Linked DNA regions of Coturnix japonica. The protein of the gene in region 2 interacts with the protein of the main gene of each other region in a biochemical or structural test. Links are inferred from orthologs where the notes say so. Each region holds a gene or a part of one and is shown on either strand. Other genes may lie near its edges. The genes, in order: FBXW11, CDC25A, CCNE1, CHEK2 and YWHAQ.

Region 1 (4,320 bases), on a different chromosome or scaffold from region 2:
TGATCTGAAATTCATCAAACTGGAGCCTAAAGACACGTCCTGAATGTTCCTGTGAGTAATGGACATCAGTTAGGAGGCCAAGAAGAGGATAACAATTCATTATGTTTGTACTCAGACCTGGATGCAGAATGGTGTATTAAAATTTTGGTGCTCTGTTTAAGAAGCCCTTAGTTATAATCACACTTGACTCTAAAGAAAAGCAGTTTTCATACATAAACGTTGTTCAGCATAACACACAGCTTTCAAATAAAGTACTCATAAGCCCTGCCTCTCCCCTGCAGGGGCCCACTGCACATGTTGAGGCTGACATTATTAAGACTAACACAGTCTATCAGGAAGCATCGATCTACAAAGACTGGCTGGCAATAACGGTCCACACCAGGGGTTCCATCTTACATAACATTTCACATTCAACACTGCTGCTAACCCAGTTTTTGTACACATCATGGCTTCACCTAGGACACACTGCTCAAATCCTCAAATTAATTAATTAATTATACATACCACTAACGTACGCAAGCATAATGTACTTGCTGGGGCACGGGGGTCAAGAGCAGCTTGCAAGTCCCAAACTTTAATTTTGCTATAAAGAAAGATAAGAAGGTTAAAAGCATTGTTTCAAGTGTAAGCACAGAAACTTCTAAAAGCAATGGACAGAATATTCCAGATCTTCCCTCCAGCTGATTTATCAGCATCGAGCAAAATGTTATAATTTATCTTCACTAATTTACTAAAGCTGAATCCCATAAAACACGGGCAGTTTTGTATTTCTTTTAAGCAGCAAATACAGTGATGTCTTTGTGATGGCCCAAGTGGGTTGTTTATACTCAAGACCAACTAACTACATTTGTATACACAAGTCAGTTTGGAACCTTTTGAAATAGCTCTTAGAAACATACCCATCATAGGCTCCACTAACAATCCTCTTATTGTCGAACCTGATGCATCGGACCAGTTCTTCATGGCCTTCTAATACCCTTAAACAGGCACCACATTCAATGTCCCATAACCTTAAAAGAACAGAAGAAAGCCTGAGCATTTCAGGTTCAAGGCTATCCCTTTACCTTACACACAGTGATTTCAGCATACTACTGAATGGGTTCCTGCAGAAAATACCACAATTTGCAAAAAAGAGCAGCTGGTAGAACTAGATTTTCCTTGTATGCAATTCAGAGAAAACTGCATTGCAGCTGCAGTACATAAAAACTAATCTAGACATTCAAAATTACATTAAGTAAAGGTTGTACACTTGCTAGATTATTTTAAGAAACCTTAACATACTTTTCTGTCCTGCATAAATCAGTAATTACTAAAGGTTCAGAAAGCATGAAAACCAGTGACCAATGTCTCCATCTCTCAAGTAGAAAACAAGGTCATAAACTACAGGAATAGAGGGTTTTGTTTCCCTCCATCTGAACCTCACAGTCTCACTTTTTCACATGGATGTGACATATTAACTAGTTGAACAGCATCTGCTTCAATGGCAAGATATACTGAAAATGGTTTGCATGAGTTATCATGTGTAAATGTACATAGATACATACTGACAGCCTGCTGGCACCCACCTAATGGTATTGTCAGAAGATCCACTGACAACCAGTCGATCCCTGTACTGCAGGCATGCGATGCCACGCTTGTGCCCATTTAGCGTACGAACAAACTCGCACGTACTTGTACTCCAGACCTACGAAACATGAGAATCATGCTCAATAAAGGTTTCTGACTTCCAACAGAAGCTGTTACAAACTCATAAGCAGAAGCCTGAGGCTGACTTCTGCTGGACAGCAGAATGAAATCTTCCATAGTGTTTTTGCAGGTAAAGAGGAGGCACGTGGTGTAAGTGGAGGATGGCATTACAGAGCCTAGCAATGACAAGAGACATCAGCTCTGCTATTGTACATAGTGTCAATGAGAAAGACTGGGAGGTTGGAAGTAGAGGGCATACGTAAAATATTTTCAAGTAGCAGGTGATACTGGTCCAAACGACCTTGAAAGGCTGATGACACTTAAATCTTGGTAAGTTAGTAATCCTTTAAAAGAGAGGATGTTACCTCATATGCAAAAATAAGCTGTATTTTTTTACCAAATTAACTGCTAGCAATCTGCTTCTAAGAGAAGACCAAAGCCACGGCCTATTAAAGCCTGTGGCTGCTTCTTCTTTTAATGTTTTTGATGAAATTTGTTCATTTTTTAATGAACTGTTATTGAAGTTGTAACATAAAGGGCTCATGTAAAGTAGCTCCTTTTCCAAAAGAAGTGCAGTGGGTTTCTTGGCAGATATTCAGACATGGAACTGCCAAGAGCTTTTTGGCACATTCCAGGGTAGCTCTGGTGGTAGAGAAGGAAGGGTGGAAACGCTTTTGTTATATTGATACACTTTGGGTAACTCAAATTTTCTGGTATGTAAATTTTTCAAAATACAGCATTTTAATTCTTTAAACACAGCAAAGTCTGGTTTAGCTGGGAAGGTGTGGAATGGAAAAGCAACTGCTGATAAATTTCATGTCTGGAACAGGACTGCCAATTGAAATAAAAAAACTGACGTTTGGAAAAAGGCACAAAATGTGCCACATTTAACAAACAAATCCAACTTGAGATTAGAGTAGGCTTTACTTTTTTGGAGCTGTACAACAGTTACAACAAAAACGTTACAAGACTTGTTATGAGCAAGAAGACATTAACAACTAGTAGGAGGAAGCAGCCAGCTGAATGCTAAGGAGAAAGGCACAGAACTGTTTACAAAAACCTTGGCTACTCCAATTTGAATTGTAACTTTCAGAAGCTTTTCTGGCTTAGTAGGCATTCAGACCCACAGGAGAGTTCAGCCAACTTACTTTAATGGTCCTGTCACCTGATGCTGACACAATATACTTGTCATCGAAGTCTACCACGTTAACAGCAGCACGATGGCCAACCAAGACACGGCGCAGGGTGATGTCAGTAGGTGATGCCATATCCCAGACAGCAATGGATCTGTCCTTTGAGCATGTCACCATTAAGCCATTACTGAACCTCAAATGAAGCACTGCTTCATTGTGGTGAATCAACGTGTTCAGAACTTCACCTGTATTTACATCCCAAACCCTGCAAAAGAAAAGAATTTTATCCCAAATGAAGGAACTACATTATGCATATTTGAAGTCTTGTGTTTGTTGCTCCACATACAAAACCTCCTTTCATTATAGGTCATAACTAAAGTATGTCAGAAGGTGATGTAAGAAACCTAAATGAGGTATTCACCATGTATTTGATGCATCAGCCATTCTACTTCATGTTGTGCTTTGAATGATACGGGTCACATTCCTTCACAATGCTTAACACCACAAAGCATGAGACAGACTGGGGAAAAAATGACTGAACATGATGCTTTCCCACGTGCAAACACCTTATTTTTGGAATAGTGGTATCACACTCACACGAGGGATGTTTTCTGATATTTGAAGATTATTACAAATATTCCCAACCCCAATTTCACTTTTTTTTAGGTTTTTTTTTTTGCCCCAAAACTTAACACTCACCTCACTGTAGAATCTGAAGATCCAGTTACAATGACCCTTTCATCATACTGCAGACAAAGAACTGAGCCAGTATGTCCTGTTAATACTTTCAAACACTCCAAGCTTGTTTTGTCCCAAATCTGTCAAAAAAATAAAAATAAAATCTATAAACATCTTGCCAAGAACACGGGTTCAAAAAACTTGAATACTGCTGCTACTTAGAGGAAATGAAGAAACCTGGACACAGCAGCAAGAACCCTTGGCTGCATGTCCAGACAGCAACTTTTGTCCTCTCTTCTAACTTGGGGAGTCTCCTTGATGGAAGCTTTTGGCATTACAGCAAAACAACCAAGGATTGTGAAAAGACAAAAACCTGTTTTACAAGAAGAAATGCTGGGGCACTTATAAAGGAAAGACCAAAAAAGCATTTACCTTAATGGAGTTATCTCGTAGGCCACTGATTATCTTTTCATCATCATACTGTAAACAGTAGACACCTTTGCTGTTTTCAGAGCGGCACTGAATCCTTTGCAAATTATGTCGCCCACATCGCCAGTTAGATTCTATAGTCTAACAAGAGGTGAAACAACAGGAGTTAGTCACGAGGCTGCATGCTCCAGTGTGGTTACTTCAACAGAAGCCCAGCAAATCTATTCTCACTGTTACAGAGTTCACCCTTAAGATTTAAATGCAAAATTCACATACATTTTTCTTCCACCCACCCATAAAAGCACTTATGACACTGCGACTTTAGACCTCGATATTTTGCCATGACAAAAGCAGCGTTCAGTGCTGAAAATCACACTCAAGCAGCCTTCATCAG
Region 2 (4,320 bases):
CCCTGGCTCAGGGAGTAAGTACCTCAGTGGTGTTGGTAGTTATTGTCCTGTCCTCTGCACACCTGCTGGGAGGAGGAAAAACTATCATGGCCCTGTTCTGAGACAGTGCTGTTAATCACCACTGTTCGTGTGCCCAAAAGGGAAGCTTATCTTTCTATCAGATGCAAAAACTGGTTTTGTCTGGGGCTCAGTATTTGGGCAATACTGAGCTGTGGCTGTGGTGCAGAGCATCCAGTGAGTGTGGGTGTCAGTGCAGAGTAGATGTAGTTGGATCCTTGCACGGAAACAGAGCCTTGGGGGGCAAGTCCTGTCTGTACTTGTTGAATTTGGTAGAGCTTTGTCTTGGTACTCCTGACCTTGTGTTTGTTAACTGCAGTCAGTGTTAGTTCCCATTCTCTGCCATCAGTTGTTTCTCTCCTTTGTAATTCACTATGCAGTGTTTCCAGGAGAGGAGCTCTATTGATTAACCAGGCTAATGGAGCACACTGCTGTAAGGACTAAATAAAATATGAGGGCTTAGTTTGGGGTTTGCTCAGGTCAGTGTATTCAAGGGGCTGGATTAACCACTAACTTGCCTGTACTTCCTGATGGGATGGCATTGTTTCTATCTGCAGCATCCTGCTGTAAAGAGATGGAATGTCATTAAAACTAAATGTTTTGTCTCAGTTTCCCACTCAAGAAATGCCCACGGGTGAAGTGGAAAACTACAGGCCAGCTTTCCTGCAGCAGGCTTCTCTGCCTTCCTCTGAAAGCGAAGATGATGATGGATTCTTGGAGCTCTTAGATGAGCAAGATCTGAAGGTAGGTACAAAAGCAGTGCAATGCTCTTCTAATCAGCTCTGTATAATGTGGCGTCTGCAGCATATGCATGTTCTGGTGGTAATTCAGACTGCAGGTAGGCAGGCATGAGGGATTATTGGAGGACTCAGTGATGTTTCTCAGCTCTTCCATTGTAGTGTCTCTGTTTTATGTGCCGTTCCCTAGTGCAGACAATGGGATTTGCTTGGTGTGTGATCAGCAGTTAGAGAGGTATTGCTGCTGTTCCTTCTGGTGTTTGAATTGTGAATCTATAGAGGGTGATTGAAAGAGTTGGTGTTTTCTATAGAAGTTCTCTGAGGGAGCTAAAGGTAATATTTGCTTTCAGATCACTTAAATAGAAGTCCAGTTCCTAGATGAACTCGACATGCTTAAGGCTTTGGAAGAGCATTGTTTTTAATCAATGAATGAGTTGATTTAGCTTATCCTTTCCAGTGTGGCTCAGCTCATCGCTCAATGAAATAACAGAGCTGGTAATGGAGTTGTTAAAACTGCTCAGGCTTACAGGAGTCTCAGGTGTTTACAGTGTCTGTCAGCAGTGAGGCAGATGAGAGTGAACTTTCTTTCTTTCATTCTCAGAATGATGAGGAGATGCCGTCTGACGTGTCAAGTCTCTGGACTGCACCGCTGGTCACCAGGAGGCCATACAGCCGGGTGAGTGTTGTCCTTGTGTCCATCTGCCCCCCTGGGCCCTGTGGTGGTGGTGGCTCTGATCCTGTACCTCCCATCACAAAACGGGGCAGTGCAAGACCCCTGCAGTATTGTGTTACTGTTAAGCCTGCTGCTTGGGAGATTGTGTCAGTGTAGGATGGTGCTCACAGTGGGTGTGTATCCACGTTAACTTGCTTTTTACAAAAACACTTATAAATGGGAGGAGGTCTTGACTTCTCTTATCAAATACTGGTGTACCTTGAATGCAGCCCTCACAGCCCTACCTGGGATGCCTGTAACCCACACTTCGGATAATAGGCTGTGAGGGCAGTACAGGCTCAGAATCTGCCGTGGTCTGCTGGTTGATACAAAGCGTTCTGCCAGCATGTCATAATGTGCTCTGAGCTCACCCAGTCCTCACAGCCAGAAACAAGTGTTAGTGGGAACATAAGCCCCCAGTGTAGGTGATCCTGAGCACATCCTGCTGTTGCTGTGCTGTGACAGCACCTTAGATGAGCCAAACTTTACTGCAGTCATATCATGTAGAATGGGGAACTCCTGCTAGCATCACAGTCCTGTTCACATGGCAGCTCCTGCATTGCTGGTGCTCTGCAGGCATTTGCAAGGGTGATTCATGCAGAATGGCCAGGGCTGGAAGGGACACCAAGGATCATGAAGCTCCAACCCCCTGCTACAGGCAGGGCCACCAACCTCCCCATTTCAGAGCAGCCCAGGCTGCCCAGGGCCCCATCCAACCTGGCCTTCAACACCTCCAGGGATGGACGGGGCATCCACAGCCTCTGGGCAGCTGTTCCAGCACCTCCCCACTCTCACAGTACACAGCTTCCCCCGACATCCACCCTCAATCTGCCCTCCTTCAACTCCAATCCATTTCCCCTTGTCCTGCTAATATCATATCATCCTGTCATTGAATGGCTTGGGTTGGAAGGGACCCCAAGGATCATCAAGCTCCCACCCCTCTGCTGTAGGCAGGGCTGCCAGCATTTAACGCTAGACCAGGTAGTCTGGAAGTCTGAGGCTTGCTTAGTTTCTCTTAGTTTTTAGTCCTGGTCTTTGCTAGACATCTTCACTGTCTGCCCCCAGGCCAGGCGATGCCGCCTCTTTGGCTCTTCATCTCTGCCCAGCGGCGTAGGCAGAACCACCCAGAAAAGAATGGAGAGGTCCCAAGAGGAGAGTTCTTCAGGGAAAAGCAAGAAGAGGAAAAGCCTACCTGGAGCACAGTCTGAAGACTCAGAGGTTGGTGGCTTGGTGTAGTTTGGTGTTGCGGTGGAGAGTTAGAGCTCAGATAGAGGGGTCTTGTTTGTGAAGGTCAAGGAGGGTGAGTTTACGGGGGGAAGTGCTGGTCTAACAGTGTGGTGTGGGGCTGATGGAGGTGCTGCAGTAGCTGTGTGTTCCTGCATTGATCCTAAAGGGAAGCTGTGCATCAGGCTGTTAGTAAATGCTGACTCTTACCCTGTGGGGAAAGGGTCTCGTACCATCGGTGTTTGGCACTCATCTCTAACCTGTCTTCCTCTAGAACACAAAAATAGTAAAGACGCAATCCTCTGCAGCAGAAATCGAGAGCATTTTGGCCAGTGACCAGAGGGACCTTATTGGTGACTTCTCAAAGGTAATTGATTTGGTTTAATGGTCTCTTTTAGAGAGGTGTTATGAACCAGCCCCAAGTAAAGCGCTTCCCTTCTTCAGAGTACATCCCCCAGTCACTGGTGAAGGCTGCCAGTGAGAATGGTGCTCTCATAGGTCAGTCCTGAAGGATTTCTTCAGGATCTTCAGTGTAGGAGCCAAAGAAAAGCTGTGTCCCTCAACCTTGGGGTTCTGGGGTTTATAAATGCTGTGCTTGGCTCAAGAGATCCTTGTCAGTGCAGTGTTATAGAGCTGGGTGCTGTGCTGCTGTGTGGATTGTGGCTGGAATGTGCTCTGCTAAATGCTGTCTGTTTTCTAGGGTTATTTGTTCCATACTGTCGATGGGAAGCATCAAGATTTAAAATACATTGACTCAGAAATGGTATGTGCTCTGGGGACAGTGGGACGTTCTTTACTGAAATGGTTAAAAAAAAAGCCCTGAAAACAATTAAACGGTGCTTCGTTTGTTTGCTTTTTGCAGATTGTGTCTGTCCTGACTGGGAAGTTTGCAAGCTTCATTAAGGAGTGTGTGATCATTGACTGTCGCTATCCGTACGAGTACGAAGGAGGACACATCAAGGTATGTTGTGGTAGTGGGAGAGTAAGGCAGAGCTGCGTGGAGCAGCAGCCTGGACTCATTGTGCCTGTGTGCTGTGTGGATCTGCACGCACACTTGGTTTGTGGAGTAGCTCTGTAAGGGGGGAACTGCTCCCCTTCTCCTTCTGCAGAGGAGCAGATGAGTGGGCAGGCAGTTCCAGGGGAGGGTGTGTGACCTCCAGTGCTCGGTGTCCTCATCTCTGGGGTACTGAGAGGAGTCTCACAGTTGATTTAAACCACAGTCTTTTGCTATAGAATGAGTGGCTGTGGAGGCTATTAAAGCTTGCTGACCCTCTCTAATACAGTGAGTGAAATCCAGCTGGCTGCTTCTAGCTGCTGATGGGGCCCTCCTGAAGTGGGAGGCAGCGCAGCACTGGGCTGTGTGCAGCATTGCTTTGGTTTGAAGCTCTGTCTGCAGCATCAAGAGAGGGCTGGCAGAGCTCCCCTAGGAGCTGAGGAGAGCTTGCCCTAAAGTGGGGTGCACTCATTGCTGTGCTCCACTTACTGTGTGCTTTTGGGTTTGGCCACCTTCGCAGGGTGCTGTGAACCTCCACATGGAGGAGGATGTGGAAGACTTCCTGCTGAAGAACCCAATCCCTCCCTCGAAGAACA
Region 3 (4,881 bases), on a different chromosome or scaffold from region 2:
AGAATCTCTTCAGAGGACATTTTAAGATCATTAGATAGAAAATTTTGACAACAGTAAGACTAGAATATGGAAAAGTGGCTAATGAGAAATTGATCAAAACTGATTACCGAAAGCTTGCTCTGTCTCCTTTCTATCCAAAAAGATTAGGTAGCCCCATCCCAAGATTTCTTATCATTTCTGGTTTCTGTTCTCCACTCTAGATTCAGGAGAACACGCATTTTCTATCATAATTGCATGGATTACTCTCATCAAGTTAAATGAACTTTGCTTTATGCAAAGCCTTGGAAGTGTATCCATCCATAGAAAGCAGCCAGAATTAATATGAGAATTGCTTACAGAATGACAGCAGTGCCAGTTCTCCAAAATCAAACACAGAATTGATGCAATATTCCGCTGTCACAAACCTCATGATATAGCCACCCTCCCATCACATAAAGGGTAACAGCATTCTGATTAAGAACTCAGGCCTTATGTTCAACAGAAGCAAACTAATGAATTGACTATGAAGATGCCATAAAGTGGGATGTGACTACGATATTTTGCCTCATGTATAACCTAGTGTCAGTAAACAGTTTATTTAATGTAGAAGTCACGTGGAACAGGCTGCAGAGGATTTATAGCTGCTTGCATTTTAGAATTGTTGTGCCTCAACAGAATAACTATCTCACTGGCTATCATACAAGCCTGCGATACTGCTGCTGGAACCATAAACATATTCTCATTAGTGGCCCATGGCAATTTATATCAGAGAATAGCTTGTGTCAAGCCATAGACTGAAGAGCTGCTGCTGTGCAGCCAAATGTTAGCTTTTTTAAACAGATCTGTAACAATCTGGCTACTTTGTCATAACAAAAAAACCTTCTCTGTGTAGAGACTGATACACAGGTATCCATTTTTATCTACAGTTTACAGAATCAAAGGGCCAAAGTCCCACCAGCGTCCTGAAGACAGCTTGGAAAATTCCTAAATTAATACTTTGGATGCCTCCTGCCTGAGTTATCTGAATATTGCTATACCTATCGTTCCTGAAGTAGCATTTAATAGCAACACCATATAGAAAGAAAAAGAAAAAAGAAAAAGCCCCAGTAAATTGGAAGCCTGTATCCCTGTATCTACTTCCAAAGCTGAAGATCAATGTATGCAAAATATATTTCAAGCCGCTTTTCAAATTACAATTGCAATAAGGGTTTTTTCAATGGTACCTTATTATTATGGAATAAACATTTATTAGAAGCTCTTCCAGAATGTTTTGCTAAAGGAGGGGTCTGCAGTGAAGGACAGGCAGCTCTTCCTTGTCAGTAGTGAGAAATTAGTTTAATATACTGCACAAAAGAAAGACAGAAGGGAAGGAGAGATCCCCTCATTAAATGCTCACCATTTGAGCCCTGCTTAATATGTTGACTGATAACTAGTGTACGCAGTTGCAACAAGCAGAGGCCATTCCAAACAATGATGCCCATCTGTTATGGTAGCACTTCAGTCTTAGAACTTCCAGCTGCCACTTCTGGTTAGATGTGCCACATTATGCATAGCCTCGCGTACCAAATGAGTACTGTCTGTACTCCCTGATCATGACTTTTGCAGCTTAAGTATCACCCTGCATGTGCATTAACTGGCTGAAGTCCTTGCAACAGAGTGAGTGAGCATGTGTGTGCATATGCACAGGAGAGAATCATAAACAAGAATAAACCTACTTCCGAGAGGCTGATTTTGCTCTTTTATTTAGAGCAAGCATCTCAATGCACAAAGGCATCTTGCTTTCAATACCAGATACCAATAAAGCACCCAATATAAACACGACTAACGTATCAAGATTGAAGAACTTAAGAACAGCACTAAGAAGTTTAGGGGATGCTACTGGAGTTCAGTCTGACTTAGTAACTTGGATCATGCCAAGTGTCCTATTTGGAAACTGGCACTGGCCACCAACCCCAGCGAGCAGCCTCATTTGTTCTTTGGCCTACAGTATAAAAGGCTTTTAACAAATCATCCCTTTCATCTGCAGAAGCCTAAAGCCCACATCACCACCACAGTAGTATCCAGTACTATAAACTCCTAATCTGGAACTTCAAGTACTCCCTCGACCTAATAAAAACACTTGCCAATGAGAATAGAGCTAACTAAGAGGAACAAGTGATCTTTCCTCTCTCCCAGGTTATATGTAAGCATAAGACAGGGTTACAAAGAGATCCATCTCAAAACTTGGTTCTGTTTGCGTGCCAAAGGGCTGCATGCTTTGGCCTGCGGGATACAGCACGTAAGTGAACCACTGAACTCCTACAAGGCTCCAGGTACGTCAGTGTGGAAAACTAAGTGTGTATGAAGGCTTTTGTAGGGCACAGCCTGGCAGCCCCGGGACATTTAGGTACACTGAAGCATTCACGTAATGGTTTAAAGCAGTGTAGGCTTCATCCCTTGCAAAGGCTCCAAAGCAGGCCATGCCACTAAGGTGGTTTGTGGCCTTCAACAGCCTGGGCTGGTGGTCCCCTCAACCACCACCACACAACACGGGGTAACTGCATATCTGTGTAATACCAACATCCTGCACCAACAGGCTACTAAGACCAAAGGAAGGTGATCTAAGGCCACAGTCATTACCTGGCTTTCATATTGCTTTTTCCTACTCATTTCAATTTTGGCAACTTCTTCATCGGGATCCTGTAGGAACTACAAAAAGAAAAGAAGGGATTTAGGGCCGCTCACCCCCCCTGCAGCACATGGCCACCCACCCCCCAACAAAAGGCCGCGGGAGCAGCTCCAGGCCCGCACCGCCCTCCAGGCCGTGCCGTGCCGCCCGCCGGGCCTGCACTCACCGTGGCCACATCGGCTTTTCTCTTGCGGGCCCGCACGGTCCCCTCGGCGCCCCCTTCCCCCTTGGCGGGAGCCTTCTCCTCCGCGCAGTCGCTGCCAAGAAACGAGAAGCGTTAAGAAAGAGCCGCCCACCCGGCCTCGCTAACGGAGAAGCCGGCCTACCCGCAGGGCCGGCCGGACTCACCTCTCCCTCCGCATGCTGCCCGCCGCCGGACCGAGAGCACGAGCGGAGCCGGGAGCCGCAGCCCCCACAAAGAGCCACGAGGCGCGGAAAGGCCCCGCCGCGCCCCGGGACCCGCTGAGCGCTCAGCACCCCGGAGCTTCCCCGGACACAGCGCGGGCGCGGCGCTCGGTGCCCGCCCGACGGCGGCGGGGACGAGGCGGGGCAGCTCGTGCGGGGCACGGCACCGACTGCGGGCACCAACCGCGGGCAGCTCCTGCCTCACGGCGCGGCCGCTCCCGTCCCTGCGCACATCGCGGCCCGCACCGAGCGGGACATTTAAACGCGCGGCGCGGGGCCGCCTCCCGCCCGCACACGTGGCCCCGCGCCCAGAGCCGGGGGCCGGCACCCGGGTGGGGCGGGGTCTGCGGGCGCGCTCCGGCCCCGGGGGAGCGCGGGGCACCGCGGGGAGCGGGATCACACGGTGTGAGCAGGGGCGGGGCCGGCGGCACCGGGCGGAAGCGGAGCTGGGAGGGGGGCGGGAGGCCCCGGGCGCGACCCCGCGGCGGAGGGGTGAAGCGAGGTGAGCGGCTGAGCCGACGGCAGCGGGACCAAAGACACGGGCTGCCATGGCGGGGCCGCGGCTCTTCGGGCGGCTGCGGGCGGCGGTGCTCGGCGTGGTGCATGTGGCTGCGCTGCCAGGTGAGCGCGGGGCGGGACGGGGAACACGCGGCGCTGCGGGACCCGCTCGCAAAGTGGGCGGCATGGCTGTAGGGGTCGGGGGAAGAACGGGCACCTGAGGGAACCCGCAGCGCTGGGGGAGCGCTCAGAGAGATGAGGGATGACGAGATATAGGCCGGGCGGAGTGCACAGGCCTCGGGACAGCTCGGACACGTGGCTCCCTGTGGTGCTGCGTCCGGCCCGAGTTCTCATGGCTGTGTGCCGGGCCGTAAAAGAGCTGAAAGTGCCGGTACAACACCGCATCAATACCCTCAGATCTGTGAGTGGCTTCAGGAGCGAGCAGATACAGCTGAGCTGTGACGTTCAGCAAAGGGGAGCACATCTCGTTTAACTGTTTTACCCCATTTCTCTCTATTTTATTATGTCAGCGCATATAACTGCGTTATCAGAAAAGCATCACTGGCTGTATGGCTTGCCTTCACATTGGGGTAAATGGCACTGTTGTTGCAGGGACACCGAGAAATTCTCTTCCGTTGGCACAAATAATTGAGCAAGCTTGTCAAGAAGCAGAAGATTACAAGGATGCTGGAGTTGTAAGTCCTGGTTTCCTTCTTCCCGTGGCAGTATTTACACAAAGCTGCTTCTGCACACCCAGTGAATTGAATTGAGTCTGAGTGACCTAGAAATCATGGAAAGCACCTAAAACCACCGAGTTCAGGAAGACATTTAAACCTGCACCTTTTATTTCCACACAAGTAGGCCCTCCAAGTATCAAAACCTGAACTACACAACACACACACCCTGTGGAACTGGAAAAGCTTAGATTCAAACTAATTTGAGTCTTTTAAATAGGATTACTATCAATTCCCAAGAATCAAGTCAATAAAAGAGAAAAAAAAATAAAACAGATGGAAAACTGACAGCAATATGAACTGTTGCTGGCATTCTAGGTATCTGGATGTAGGATGCTTCATCATCCAGTCTGACAAGCTGCTTTACTTAGCTCTGCTTGGCACACTGCGTTCATGAAATCATGGCACAGACATACGTACTGAATGACTTGCCTACAGGCTGTAGGATTTCCCCACAGTTTGTGTTTGTACTGCAGTAGCATTATTCTACAACCAAAAGATTCTCCTAGGTCCTTCTCTGCCCACTGTAATCCTTGGATCCTAGTCCATGGGAGCAGCCATTCCTGCTTTGACCGTTCTAGGTGGAGGCAAGAGAAG
Region 4 (3,677 bases), on a different chromosome or scaffold from region 2:
TAACCCATTCTAATAGAATCCTGCAGAAGTTGCTGAAACTAGAGAATGAGGTTTTATTTTCAGAAGAGGAAGTATACTGTGTTAACTAAATGCCTTTTGCACGTGGAATTCCTTTTTCCCTGAGGTTGCCTGGTGTAGACCAAGGGCACCTCAGTCCCCGGCAGCTGAACCAGAATGAATCTGTGTGCTGTCTTTTTCTCTTGAAACACGTCTGGCTTTCTGTTAAACAATAGGTTTTTCTAACTAATGGTCTGTGCTTTCCTACCTCATGCTGCCCTTTCCTCTACTAATGCTCCTGCAGCCAGGCTTCTTTATGCAGAAGTGTGACTAATAACATCCCTATGTCCACTTCTTTCCATTAGTAGCAGCTTCTGGCTTATCACTTCTGGTAGAGAATAAACTATATTATCCAGTAAACTTGTTATGGTAGGGAACAGTGTAGCAATATGAATGGCCTATGGATAATAAATATTTGTTAACAATCATTTGGGTTTTTAAAAGTGAAACCTTCCATTGACAACCTCTAATATGCTCTGTGGATATAGGGTAGAGGTAATGGTGGGGTATTTTAAAAGTAAAAGTTGTTACTGTCATTTTAATATAGATGTTTTAGCTGGTTCTTCTCTACTTAGTGTATACAATAGATTGTTTAGGAGGAGGATGGTGGGTTGGAGATGTGATTAAAAACTACGTGTTGAGATAATGCTAAGCTGGTGGAAATGACAATATTGTTAGAAATGTAAGACTATAAGCAAAATACTTGTTTTTCAAGAGCGAGGAACTTGATTTTGATTAAAGCAAAGTGCCAAGTCCTGATGAGGCCTCTCCTGATGAAACTGACCAGTGAATTATCTGCACAAGCTCCTAGCCCTGTATGTTTTGCTGTTTCAGTACTGTTATACTTCATTGTATGGTATTATCATTTCAGCTTTTGCTTGACTGGTATTAGATAAGTAAGAATAAAGTCTGTGGGGAATAAAGCCGATGTTTCAAAGGACCAACGTCCTGATGATGTGTAACCTACTTGCTGCAAAAATAGTGTCTCCTAATTCCTTTTCTCAGTTGTGTTGTGTTAAGGATAAATTCACCACTTCCTTCACTGGGCCTGGTGTTGGAAACCTTAGAGAAGGAACTGTGACACTGTGCAGTGTTTTACAGCTACCTGGAGCAGTCATTTCAGATCCTTTCTCCTAGCAATACATGCTTTATTTTTCTAACGGTGAGGAGAAGAGTTATATCCCTTTCTCTTTTATTTGTTCCACAATTGCTGGTCCACCTTAAACATTCCTCATAATAATTAAGGCTGATGGTTTGTTTTGTTTTGTTTTAACAGGATGAGGATATGAAAAATACATTTCAACAACTACTTGCTCAGACAGGTGCCACTATGAATCCACCACAAACATCAAAAATGGTATGAATGGTGGATTATGTGAAGATTAATACTTGGTGCCTATGCTAGATTTGAAAGTAAACCATAATAAGAACATGTAATCCTGATAATTTAATATAGAAGTGTACATTATGCCTTTATGTAGCAGTCTATTAATTCTTTCCTGCATTCTTGGTAGAAGAAGTTTACTTTTGTGCTTTGGCAAGATACTTTGAATGTAAAGAAACTGTCTCGTAGGCTTTAAAGGACTACCCATATATTCAAAGTTCTGTACGTGAACATGTCTGTTTGGATGGATTTAAGTCATGAATGTTTAATATTCAAAGGCAAATTCTGATGGCAGTGGAACTTAGTGGTAATGGTGATATTAATTACTAGACAGCAATTAGCATTGTTTTAAACAGCAGTCAAAGCAGGGAGCAACTGAGAAAGAAAAGGGAATAAGGGCAGTGTCTTACATGAGAAGGATCACTTACCATTAGATCACTGGAGAGAAACGCTCGTTAGTCATGCTGCTGTTTCAGTTACAGGAGGGAGACTTTATCCAACATCTGTAATTCTGTAGTAGACAAAACAGTCAAGCTCTGTCTCACCTGATTAATGTAGCCATCCTGCTGCATCTTTCTTTTAGCCGATTGCTATGAGAAAACGTCTCCATGAAAACGAGGATGAATCTGTCCCTTCGAAGCGTGTGGCTCCTTCTACGTCATTTCAGAAAATGAGGTGAAAAAGGGGACTTTTTTTGTTAATTATTGCTTTATTTTATGGAAAGCAGAATTTTTATTTTTGAAAATCCTATTGATGGAATAACGTTTGAAGATGCAATTGATTAAATAAAAACGACTTTGTAAGAATGAAGTAACTGCTGTGTATGCATGGGAATTTACATCAATAGTCATTCTGAAGTTCATCCATCTGTTTGATTCAAGAGGAATGTCAGATGTTTCTTCTTGAATGAAGTTACAAAAAACCTTGAGGCTAATTTCATTCCCATCTACACTTCTGTGCTCTTCTGTTCCAGTTTCTACCTTAGGCTTAAAGGTATTGCTTAGTCCTCCCACCATAGCATTACCTGGCACAAAATGATATCTGTAACCTCCTCATGAAACCTAGAAATAGAAATCCACTATGAGGAGGGCTATGGTTAGAATAATTGTAATCCTTAAGATGCCTGTACTTGCTAACTGTTCTCTTCTTGAAAAGTGTGCACTGTTTTTATTTACCTTAGGATGGACTGAATAAGAAACGTGGTAACCATCTTCCTTACATCATTGGATAAGCTCCTGTAAGAGAAGAACAAGGAATTAAACTGTGGAACAATTTAAAATGTTCTTGTCTGTTAAGTGGAAAAGTTTTTGGACTGTGCGCCAATTGCTAGAGGATATGAATTTAATTATTTAGTAAGAGGGAGCGATTTAATAACTTTGGCCTAAAACCACGCATGTTATGATTAGAGGCATTTACTGTAAATGGATTAGGAGAGAATAAAACCTAATCCATTACAAAACAAAGCACTGTCAAGTATAAATTAAGATAAGACACAAGGCAAGTTTTTCCCCGTTGTGCTTGTTGCAGACAGAGATCATATGCGTTATGAGATACTTGCATCTATCATTGTGAATGGTGAGGAGGCAGTAATTGCATAAACATTTTGCATGCTTGTTTCATGAGGGCCTGCAGTAGAAGTGGTGTCACAGCCTGATACAGTGATGGAGCACCTGGTAGGAAGGCAGGGCCAACCCAGGGGAGTTCAGGTGCAGGCAATGTACCTTCAGTAACTGGAAGGGGTGGAACCAGGATTCAACCCTTCTCAGACCTCATTTAAGGGTTGGCAGTGGAGGTGTGGGTATCTTGCTGGAGAACCCTGCCTATCTGAATTTTTCCCAAGGTAAGAAACTTTTTTTCCCTTGTTTTTGTGTCTTTGGTTGCTGCATTTGGGATCATTTTCATTTCTATAGCCTGGGGTTGTGCTACTTTGCTATTACTGCTGTGCTTTCCATTGTATTACAGTATTACAAGGCCACAAAAAAATGATCCAAGGAATGAAACACCTGCCCTGTAAAAACAGGCCAAGAGAAGAGAAGGCTGGGGAAGGAGCTGAGGATGAGCATTCAGTATCTAAAGCAGCTGTAAGAAAGAAGGAACTGACCCTTTAGAATACATTCTGATAGGACAAGGGGAAATGGTTTCAAACTAAAAGAGAGGAGATTTAGATTGGATATAAGGAAGAAGTTTTACACTAAGGGCACTGCAGATAGTGGGTACGGATGGCCTTCAGTGGTTC
Region 5 (4,118 bases), on a different chromosome or scaffold from region 2:
TTTAAATAACAAGACCAACACAGTAATTCTTTCTGAAAGAGTTTCATTAACTTCATGAGGAGCATTACCAATAGGCACCTTTTTTTTTAACAGAGTAAATGCATCCCTCCATTGAAATGACCGGCAGTGTCGGTTCACAGCACAGACCTAATGCCCACATGCCTCATCACAGCCCTATCTGAACACAGACAGGAGCACTCCGAGCTGAGACGACAACATCCTGAGGTGATTCAGAGCATTCATCATCCCTTCAGGATGCTGGAGTAGCAGGACATGACTAAATTTGGTGATGCTGGAAGCAAAGGTGAGGGATTTCACTGCTTCACGTAGACACTGTGCTGTTTGAAGGGAGGTTTGAGCCTGAGGCCTTTAGGACCAATGGACATCGATGGTTACTGATGTCAGCGCGGGTCGCTCCCCGCTCAGGGCCCCACGGCACAGCGCCATTAACTCTTCACGAGCAATTTCCTGTCACCGGGCTCCTGGGGCACAGCTCACAGAATGACCCGGGTTGGAAGGGACCTCAAGGATCATGTAGTTCCAACCCCCCTGCCTGGCAGGGCCACCAAACATACACCTTTACTAGATCAGGTTGCCCAGGGCCCCGTCCAACCTGGTCTTGAACACCTCCAAGGACGGGGCATCCACAACCTCCCTGGGCAGCCTGTTCCAGGACCTAACCACTCTCCTAGTGAAGAACTTCCCCCTAACATCCAACCTAAATCTTCCCTCTCTCTGAAATCTCTCGCCCGACCGAGCGGCGGCACAAAGGCAGCATTCCTGACAGGAGACAACGCGCCGGGAGGGCGCCGGGCAGCCCAGCCCGCAGCCCAGCCTCGGCACCACGCACTGTGTCCTCCCACAGCCGCCCTACGGAGGGGGCACCGAGCCCGCCCCGCACGGCCCCATGGCGACACAGCCAGGGAGCTAAAGCACGGGCAGCCCCCACAGCACGGGCAGCCCCCACAGCACGGGCAGCCCCCACAGCACGGGCAGCCCCCACAGCACGGGCAGCCCCCGCCGGCCGCCCCCGCCCGTTCCCGCGCCGTGTCGGTGCCGACCCACCGTGGTGGAGCGGGGGTTGGGCGGGGGGGGGGTTGTAGCAGTATCGCCATGGCGACAGTGACGTCATCTCACCCTGGATCTAATTGGAGGAAACCCCGTGGCCCCAGCCGCAGCCCACGGGCCAACCGAGCTCGCGCCCTGCCCGCGCTCGCCCCCGCGGCGGCGCGCTGCCCTCGGATTGGCCGGCGGGGAGCGGAGGGGCGGGGCCTGGCTCGCAGGAGAGGCCGCGATTGGCCGCGTGGGCGCGGGCCGAGCGGCGGGTAGGCTCGGCCGTGCCAACGCCCTTTAGCGCTGGCTCTCGCCCGCTTCGGGAGCGGCTCTTTCTCTCCGCCACATCCCGAGCGAGGCGCAGCCGATCGGGTGCGGCCCGGCCCGGCCTAGCGCAGCGCAGCGCAGCGGACTCAGGTGAGCGCGGCGTGGGCCGCTTCCCGCCGGCCGTGCCGCCGTGCCCCGCCTCGGCGCCGCGTCCTCCATTTTGTGAGCGCGGCGTGGAGCGCTCGGCGGTGCCGGGTTGCGGAACGAGCCGCCGGGCGGCGCCGCCATTTCGTACCCGCCGGGGCTTCGTCCTCCGCGCCCGGCCACGCTCGTCCCGCTCCGCCGCCCCCCGCTTCGCGGTCCCCGGGGACGAGGCCAACGCGGAGCCGCCGGGCCCCGACCCCACCCAGCGGCCGGGAATGGAGGGGCTCCGTGCCGGGGCCGGGGCCGCTCCCGCCGGGGGGATGGTCCCGCCTCGCCCCGCCGCCAGGAGGCGAAGCGGCCCGAGCTGCCCGCCCGGCCCCGCCCGGCCCCGGCGTTGTCTCCAGCCCCGCTGAGCTGCGGCCTCAGCTCCGAGCGCGCTGTTCTCCTTTCTTTCTTTTTAAATAGCTTTTTTTTCTGTTTCCTCCTTTTTCTTTGCCCTCCCCTGCGGGGTGAAGGCACGTGGGGAAGGCCCTCGGGCTGCCTGGGAGCTGGGTGTCCTGCTGTGCGGCTCCATTGAGCAGCTCTTAAGTGTGTTGGCACAGTAAGGACAAAAGCCGCTGTGGTACGTTGGTACGACTGCCCGGTGCTCGGTCCTCTGGCCGAGGGACTGTGACCCATCCCCGGCTGGGTTTCTGGGCTGTTGCTTCCCCAGGGTGGGCCCGGTACCAGTGCCTGCTTCTGCCCAAGGGAGGGACGGTGCCAGTGCTGCGCCATGGGATGTACTTGGGAATGGGGAGCTCCCTACAGTCCCAGTAAGGGGGCTGCAAGGACACCATCCACAGCGTTGGCTCCTGGAGTCACGGTTGCTGTCCTTCTCCTGGCAGGCTCTGAGGCTCGTTCTCTTGCTGGCAGAGTGACGTCCTCAGCTTCTCCTGCCTTTGCTACAACACTGCCCTCGTCCTGCCGCCGGCCACCATGGATAAGACCGAGTTGATCCAGAAAGCCAAGCTGGCGGAGCAGGCTGAGCGCTATGACGACATGGCCACCTGCATGAAGGCGGTGACGGAACAGGGGGCTGAGCTGTCCAACGAGGAGCGCAACCTGCTCTCGGTGGCCTACAAGAATGTGGTGGGGGGGCGACGCTCTGCCTGGAGGGTTATCTCCAGCATCGAGCAAAAGACAGACACCAGCGACAAGAAGATGCAGCTTATCAAGGACTATAGGGAGAAGGTGGAGTCTGAGCTCAGGTCCATCTGCACCACGGTGCTGGTGAGTGGGGCCTTTCCTTTTTCCGTGTTTTATCAAAAGAGAGAAGCGGGATGCTGCTGTTTTGAGGAGGGTGGGAAATGGGCTGGGCACTATGTGAGCTATTATGCTGGAGTGGGTAGTTCAGTAACTTTTGCAGCTGCCATATTGGTTACTTTGAGACAGAAAATCATCTGCACTTTGCTGCGGGTGCTGTATATGCAGAAGTAATCGAGGTGTGCTAAGCTGTGTTTGAGATGCACATCTGATGGAGTTACCTGTGTGCAGTACTACGCTAGCTGAGCACAGAGATGCAGGGAATTTAGGCTTGTGCTTTGGTTTGTAAGCTAATCTTCACAAGGTAAGCTGAAAAGAAAATGAAAGCCCTTTATTTCTGAAGGTTGGTGCTAGTAACCTGTTAAATGCATTTAAATTAATGGCGTTCATTTAATGTGCTGCTTCATGTGAGGAAAAACACTCTTTAAAGGCCTTAAAGAGGCATTTTTTAGATTTTCTTTCCTAGGTAATAAGGTATGATTTCATAAAGGAAGACATCTTCCTTGAAAGTAGGAAAGAAAAAGGTAGAAATCTGCTTTGTCACACTCAAGTTGATTTAGTGGGGGCTGTTAAAAGTGAATTTGCAGTTATTTTGGACTAATGCACAACTGTGGCTTGGAAACAGGATATTCCATGACAGGTATTGTGCACCTGGGCATGTTTCAAAGCCCAGCAATATATTTCCATGTGAGGAGCAGAATTCCAGATGCTGTTGATGGTGAAGCAGCATTGCAGTGCAGCAGGAGCTCCACAGACCTGTGTCAGCAACATGGGAAGTGTGCAAGCCTGTTGTGTGTGATCAGGGTCTACTGACTGCAGGAAGCTGTGTGTGTGTAGTGCAGTGCTGATGGTGTGGCATGTCATCTTCAGTGGTTAAGCTGTGTATTTTTGATGTCTAGTATTGCAAGCATGAGAAAGGAAGTGAGTAAGGAAATAAACAGTTTTTGATTTAACCCTGAATCGGGTTAGGAGACCTGAGGTTAAAGATGGCTGGTTTGGAAGTAATGGATTTTGCATCTTGAGAAGTGTTTTGGCTCATGTACAAGGGTGCTTTGGATTGTATTGAAAATACTGTGTGCTTCCTCACATGCTGCCTCCTGGATTCGTTTCTAACTGTGAGTCAGAGGCCTTCTATAAAATCACAGAATCACAGAATGACCCGGGTTGGAAGGGACCTCAAGAAACAAGCAAGTCCAACCCCCCTGCCTGGCAGGGCCACCAAACATACACCTTTACTAGATCAGGTTGCCCAGGGCCCCGTCCAACCTGGCCTTGAACACCTCCAAGGATGGGGCATCCACAACCTCCCTGGGCAGCCTGTTCCAGGGCCTAACCACTCTCCTAGTAAAGAA

What was found.
Region 1: the proteins of CDC25A (region 2) and FBXW11 form a complex in vitro, tested with the Homo sapiens proteins (2 studies listed by BioGRID, with this or other methods). The link is inferred for Coturnix japonica from reciprocal best matches to the Homo sapiens genes CDC25A and FBXW11.
Region 3: the proteins of CDC25A (region 2) and CCNE1 form a complex in vitro, tested with the Homo sapiens proteins (2 studies listed by BioGRID). The link is inferred for Coturnix japonica from reciprocal best matches to the Homo sapiens genes CDC25A and CCNE1.
Region 4: of the proteins of CDC25A (region 2) and CHEK2, one has a biochemical effect on the other in vitro, tested with the Homo sapiens proteins (5 studies listed by BioGRID, with this or other methods). The link is inferred for Coturnix japonica from reciprocal best matches to the Homo sapiens genes CDC25A and CHEK2.
Region 5: the proteins of CDC25A (region 2) and YWHAQ form a complex in vitro, tested with the Homo sapiens proteins (2 studies listed by BioGRID, with this or other methods). The link is inferred for Coturnix japonica from reciprocal best matches to the Homo sapiens genes CDC25A and YWHAQ.

Annotation. Positions count from the first base shown.
Region 1 is NC_029528.1:13,891,666-13,895,985, forward strand, and holds part of FBXW11 (F-box/WD repeat-containing protein 11), read right to left. Parts: intron 4,068-4,320; coding exon 3,930-4,067; intron 3,638-3,929; coding exon 3,519-3,637; intron 3,085-3,518; coding exon 2,835-3,084; intron 1,685-2,834; coding exon 1,566-1,684; intron 1,011-1,565; coding exon 900-1,010; intron 584-899; coding exon 505-583; intron 50-504; coding exon 1-49.
Region 2 is NC_029517.1:561,047-565,366, forward strand, and holds part of CDC25A (M-phase inducer phosphatase 1), read left to right. Parts: coding exon 1-14; intron 15-666; coding exon 667-801; intron 802-1,395; coding exon 1,396-1,470; intron 1,471-2,571; coding exon 2,572-2,724; intron 2,725-3,004; coding exon 3,005-3,097; intron 3,098-3,430; coding exon 3,431-3,493; intron 3,494-3,592; coding exon 3,593-3,691; intron 3,692-4,244; coding exon 4,245-4,320. UniProt on the Homo sapiens protein: Tyrosine protein phosphatase which functions as a dosage-dependent inducer of mitotic progression. Directly dephosphorylates CDK1 and stimulates its kinase activity. Also dephosphorylates CDK2 in complex with cyclin-E, in vitro.
Region 3 is NC_029526.1:7,172,296-7,177,176, reverse strand, and holds the start of CCNE1 (G1/S-specific cyclin-E1), read right to left. Parts: upstream 3,345-4,881; 5' UTR 3,010-3,344; coding exon 2,996-3,009; intron 2,905-2,995; coding exon 2,814-2,904; intron 2,668-2,813; coding exon 2,599-2,667; intron 1-2,598. Other genes in the region: uncharacterized protein F13E9.13, mitochondrial-like, read left to right, coding at 3,601-3,673, 4,163-4,245. UniProt on the Homo sapiens protein: Essential for the control of the cell cycle at the G1/S (start) transition.
Region 4 is NC_029530.1:6,762,207-6,765,883, reverse strand, and holds the end of CHEK2 (serine/threonine-protein kinase Chk2), read left to right. Parts: intron 1-1,333; coding exon 1,334-1,414; intron 1,415-1,869; exon of another isoform or gene 1,870-1,952; intron 1,953-2,024; coding exon 2,025-2,116; intron 2,117-2,616; exon of another isoform or gene 2,617-2,621; coding exon 2,622-2,631; 3' UTR 2,632-2,904; downstream 2,905-3,677. UniProt on the Homo sapiens protein: Serine/threonine-protein kinase which is required for checkpoint-mediated cell cycle arrest, activation of DNA repair and apoptosis in response to the presence of DNA double-strand breaks.
Region 5 is NC_029518.1:87,878,912-87,883,029, reverse strand, and holds the start of YWHAQ (14-3-3 protein theta), read left to right. Parts: upstream 1-1,318; 5' UTR 1,319-1,470; intron 1,471-2,348; 5' UTR 2,349-2,439; coding exon 2,440-2,733; intron 2,734-4,118. UniProt on the Homo sapiens protein: Adapter protein implicated in the regulation of a large spectrum of both general and specialized signaling pathways. Binds to a large number of partners, usually by recognition of a phosphoserine or phosphothreonine motif.